2 linked regions of the Saccharomyces cerevisiae S288C genome follow. The main gene of each other region encodes a partner of the protein of the gene in region 2 in a complex. Each region holds a gene or a part of one and is shown on either strand. Other genes may lie near its edges. A codon is read from its position in the direction of its gene.

Region 1 (2,512 bases), on a different chromosome or scaffold from region 2:
CGAAAGTATTATTTATGATCTAGCTTATACCTTCCTGTTGAAGAGTCTTCTTCCTACGATAAGAAGGTGCTTAGTCTTTATCAAAGTGCTACACGAATTAGTGAAAGATTCTGAAAATGAAACGCTGGTCATCAACGGTCATGAGGTTGAAGAAGAACTGGAATTCGAAGATACCGCCGAGTTTGTCAATAAGGCATTGAAAATGATTACTGAAAAAGAATCCTTAGTCGATCTTTTGACAACGCAGGAGTCCATTGTATCGCATCCATATTTGGAGAACATCCCATATGAATATTGTGGGATTATAAAACTGATAGATTTATCAAAATATTTGAATACTTACGTTACCCAATCTAAGGAAATCAAGCTACGTGAAGAGCGTTCTCAGCATATGAAGAATGCGGATAATCGATTAGATTTCAAAATATGTTTGACATGTGGTGTCAAAGTGCATTTAAGAGCGGACCGCCATGAAATGACCAAGCATTTGAATAAAAATTGTTTTAAACCATTTGGCGCCTTCCTGATGCCCAATTCAAGTGAAGTTTGTCTCCATTTGACACAGCCTCCTTCTAATATTTTTATATCTGCACCATATCTAAATTCGCATGGTGAAGTTGGTAGAAATGCCATGAGAAGAGGTGATTTAACCACCTTGAATTTGAAAAGATATGAGCACTTAAACAGATTATGGATTAACAATGAAATTCCAGGTTATATTAGTAGAGTAATGGGTGACGAATTTCGAGTGACTATACTTTCCAATGGTTTCTTGTTTGCATTTAATAGAGAACCAAGGCCAAGAAGAATACCTCCAACAGATGAAGATGATGAAGATATGGAAGAGGGAGAAGACGGGTTTTTTACGGAGGGAAATGACGAAATGGATGTTGATGATGAAACTGGACAGGCCGCCAACTTATTTGGGGTTGGCGCAGAAGGTATTGCTGGTGGCGGAGTACGTGATTTTTTCCAATTCTTCGAAAACTTTAGGAACACTCTACAACCGCAGGGAAATGGCGATGATGATGCACCTCAGAATCCCCCACCAATATTGCAGTTCTTAGGACCTCAATTTGATGGAGCTACTATCATAAGAAATACAAATCCAAGAAACCTCGATGAGGATGACTCTGATGATAATGATGACTCTGATGAGCGAGAGATTTGGTAGATTCAAGCCCTCTACTATGTTTTATAGTTGACATATTTGTATATAAAAACTTATACATTATTAAACATTTGCGCGTCGATTGACTTTTATTTATTATTAACAAAGAAGTAATACCAACCTAATTACAAATACTTCGAAGTGACTATCATAAGTTTCCTTATCTAGCGAAGGCAACTTTTGAACTCCCCAGTTGTTAATATGTATCATTATACACGACCCAATCAAACGCGGGGAAGTCAATGCCGAAAGAATTCTAGGACCTAAAAGCTGCTCAATCCTTGGGCCTTTCCCTAATGACATCCCCTCTCAAACTTTAGCTTAGCAGTTGTATTTAATGTCCTGTCACGGATAGTCAATAATCGTTGAAGGTTGATTTTCATATCCTTCGCAATTTCGTAAAGCAACAATAGCAATACGGACTAAAATGGTATGTTGGTGTGTGTGTGTGCTGCTTCACATTTCAGGCTAAAAATGTTATCCGTGGAATCTTCCTTAGCCAAGTATCATGGGCTTTGGAAATTAGTTTCCCACCGATGAGCGCAACGACTTAGCGAAGCTTATGAAATTGGTGACAGCAGCTCTATGAATATGTTCCATGCGTTTCCATTCAGGTTACTAACAATGCATAAATTATGAGTAGTCTTTTTCATCACTATATAAAACCTTTTTCAAACGAAACGCTGTTTTTGTTGGTACTATCTTTGCAGGTGCCTTTGTTTTCCAAACTGTATTTGATACTGCTATTACTTCATGGTACGAGAATCACAACAAAGGAAAATTATGGAAAGATGTCAAGGCTCGAATAGCTGCAGGCGATGGAGACGACGATGATGAGTAAACGCTGATTATGTCACACATATACGTGCAAACGCTCTCTCTCTCTCTCAAGCTATATAAGTGGCACTCGTCTTATTTATTATTTTTTTATTTTGGCTGGTTGTTCATGTTCAACCCAACCTCATAAAGGCACTCAACTTCATATTTTGACACAAATCTATGTCTCGCCAAAGCGCATTCAAATTTCAGAATGGAAATAGACACGAACGAGCCTGTCTGTCAGATGTTCACAAAATCCTTATTATAATTTTATATTCTACTAAAGGAAAAAGAGAATTAGGAAAAAGAATAACTCATTTTATGTATATACATATATTTTGTACATATCTATACCAAGCAAGTATAGTGCAATACTGTTCTTCGACGTTATTAAACGTAATAGCATTTTCTTGGTATCCTTTGAATCTTATATACAAGTACGAGTACATACTGCGCAGTAAATTGATCCTGATGGTGTGTTTAGATTTCGCCAGAAGCGGAGGCGTTCTGGATTCTGGAGAT
Region 2 (2,751 bases):
GAATGTTAATTCGCTCGTGCGTACTAATTTTTCCGAGGTCACTCGCAAATCCAGAATTCTAAAGGATGAAAGTATATTTTCTGAAATCGTCAACAAAGAAGGGATGTGATATATTCAAAATGGAAAGATTCCTCCTTCTTTCATTTAGAAATAGGAAACTAACCAGTAAATTAGAAACAAAGAATGGCTCTCAATAAACTAAAGAATATACCTTCTTTAACAAACAGTTCTCATAGCTCAATTAACGGCATTGCATCCAATGCTGCAAATTCCAAACCAAGCGGAGCAGACACGGATGATATCGATGAGAATGATGAATCTGGGCAAAGTATTCTATTAAATATTATTTCCCAGCTGAAGCCAGGTTGTGATTTATCTAGAATCACACTTCCGACATTTATTCTGGAAAAAAAATCGATGTTGGAGAGAATCACTAATCAATTACAATTCCCAGATGTTCTTTTAGAAGCACACTCCAATAAAGACGGGCTGCAAAGGTTCGTTAAAGTGGTAGCATGGTACCTAGCAGGTTGGCACATTGGGCCCAGGGCTGTGAAGAAGCCCCTAAATCCCATTCTTGGAGAACACTTTACAGCTTATTGGGATTTGCCTAACAAGCAACAAGCCTTTTACATTGCAGAACAAACGAGTCACCATCCTCCTGAATCTGCGTATTTTTACATGATTCCAGAATCGAATATTAGAGTTGATGGAGTTGTTGTGCCAAAATCGAAATTTTTAGGAAACTCAAGTGCTGCAATGATGGAGGGGTTAACTGTATTGCAATTCCTTGATATCAAGGATGCAAATGGTAAACCAGAGAAATATACTCTATCGCAACCAAATGTTTACGCAAGGGGAATTCTGTTTGGCAAGATGAGGATTGAATTGGGAGATCACATGGTCATTATGGGTCCTAAGTATCAAGTGGATATTGAGTTCAAAACAAAGGGCTTTATTTCTGGTACCTATGATGCAATTGAAGGTACAATTAAGGATTACGATGGTAAGGAATACTACCAAATTAGTGGTAAGTGGAATGATATTATGTATATCAAAGATTTGAGGGAAAAAAGCTCTAAAAAGACTGTTCTCTTCGATACTCATCAGCATTTTCCTCTAGCTCCTAAAGTCCGCCCATTGGAGGAACAGGGAGAATACGAATCGAGAAGGCTTTGGAAGAAGGTTACGGATGCGCTGGCTGTACGTGACCATGAAGTAGCTACAGAAGAAAAGTTTCAGATAGAAAACCGCCAAAGAGAGCTGGCCAAAAAGAGGGCCGAAGACGGCGTTGAATTTCATTCAAAACTATTTAGAAGGGCAGAGCCAGGTGAGGATTTAGATTATTATATTTACAAGCACATCCCTGAAGGGACCGACAAGCATGAAGAACAGATCAGGAGCATTTTGGAAACTGCCCCGATTTTACCAGGACAGACATTCACTGAAAAATTTTCTATTCCGGCTTATAAAAAGCATGGAATCCAAAAGAATTAGGCTTCTCATTCTATTTTAATTATACTAGTACGATTTCTCACTCTGTAATTTAATATCAGTGTAATATGCACCTAGTTATGGGTAGTTTTTGCTAACGTTACGAGCCGCGAAACTGTCCTCAATCTTCACCACTACCTCTAATGACTGAAGAATGCTATGCGATATAACGCTGTCGCACTTTGAATATATACTTATATTTACATAGTTTTCAAGTGCGTATTACTATTGCAAAGTAGTATTTTGTCACGTGATTTTGATCCAATTAAAACTAAATATGGTTCAACCCGTTGTTTCCGCATCAAAAAACCATACCATTTATCAAGGGGACGGGATATATCACATAACAGTTTGAATGCATAATTTGTTATAGATATCTTCTGGAATAATCTTCACAGCAAAAGCGCAAGTCGAATAATATATCGATAAATACAATCCATAAGACTTAAAACTAACCTCAATGGCGGTAAGTATCCTATCATATTATGTGAGCTAGAACCGAATTAGTATACTAACATTTATAATACAGTACACTTCTCATCTGTCTTCAAAAACTGGTCTACATTTCGGTAGACTTTCTTTAAGAAGTTTAACAGCTTATGCTCCGAATTTAATGTTATGGGGTGGTGCTAGCATGCTTGGGCTATTTGTATTCACAGAAGGATGGCCTAAGTTTCAAGATACGCTATACAAAAAGATTCCGTTGTTAGGACCTACATTGGAAGATCATACTCCACCAGAAGATAAACCTAATTGAAGCCAAAACATCCAACCGGCTGAGTGATTTTATTTATTTGTTTTACGTTCTTTTCTATCATTTTGGAAGAGGAATTAATGCAAAACACATTTGTATTTTTTTTTATTTTTGCATATTCTCGATTATCTATACATATTTTTAAACTGGATCATAAAAGGTATAAAAAGTAATTGATCCATACAACATTTTTAAATATTTACCCCTCTATTTTCAGAATATTTACTAAAACATCAGTTATCAAAGAGTAGGGAAAAGTTAACTACAGGTTTGTTTTTCCTCTTTTTATGTATCTTTTGAGCTTTGTAATTGGGCAGCACATCTCTATGTTTTCAGGGAAACCTATTTCATTCGCCATTTTGATGATTTAGGCATACGCCAATGCTAACGCCGTTTCTTGTAATTTCTATTTTTTCAAATGGAGTACTTTACCTTCCTCCCGCAGCTGGAACTTTCAACCCGCCGGAAGAAAAGACCAAATAATATTATAATTAATATTTAAA

Evidence for each region. Proteins that work in one complex are often made in the same cells at the same time.
Region 1: the proteins of QCR10 (region 2) and QCR9 are in contact, whole or in part, in a cryo-EM structure (PDB 8YIN), measured with the Saccharomyces cerevisiae proteins. Residues at the interface, in NP_011864.1 of Saccharomyces cerevisiae: Asn29 (codon at 2,102), Leu32 (codon at 2,111), Trp33 (codon at 2,114), Gly35 (codon at 2,120), Ala36 (codon at 2,123), Leu39 (codon at 2,132), Gly40 (codon at 2,135), Phe42 (codon at 2,141), Val43 (codon at 2,144), Glu46 (codon at 2,153), Leu55 (codon at 2,180), Tyr56 (codon at 2,183), Lys58 (codon at 2,189), Leu61 (codon at 2,198); in NP_011699.1 of Saccharomyces cerevisiae: Arg13 (codon at 1,848), Asn14 (codon at 1,851), Ala15 (codon at 1,854), Val16 (codon at 1,857), Val18 (codon at 1,863), Gly19 (codon at 1,866), Phe22 (codon at 1,875), Ala23 (codon at 1,878), Phe26 (codon at 1,887), Gln29 (codon at 1,896), Thr30 (codon at 1,899), Val31 (codon at 1,902).

What each region holds. Positions count from the first base shown.
Region 1 is NC_001139.9:858,563-861,074, reverse strand, and holds QCR9 (ubiquinol--cytochrome-c reductase subunit 9), read left to right. Parts: upstream 1-1,598; coding exon 1,599-1,601; intron 1,602-1,814; coding exon 1,815-2,012; downstream 2,013-2,512. Other genes in the region: E3 ubiquitin-protein ligase UBR1, read left to right, coding at 1-1,174; protein translocase subunit TIM13, read right to left, coding at 2,471-2,512. UniProt on the Saccharomyces cerevisiae protein: Component of the ubiquinol-cytochrome c oxidoreductase, a multisubunit transmembrane complex that is part of the mitochondrial electron transport chain which drives oxidative phosphorylation.
Region 2 is NC_001140.6:105,872-108,622, forward strand, and holds QCR10 (ubiquinol--cytochrome-c reductase subunit 10), read left to right. Parts: upstream 1-1,954; coding exon 1,955-1,960; intron 1,961-2,023; coding exon 2,024-2,251; downstream 2,252-2,751. Other genes in the region: oxysterol-binding protein related protein OSH7, read left to right, coding at 184-1,497.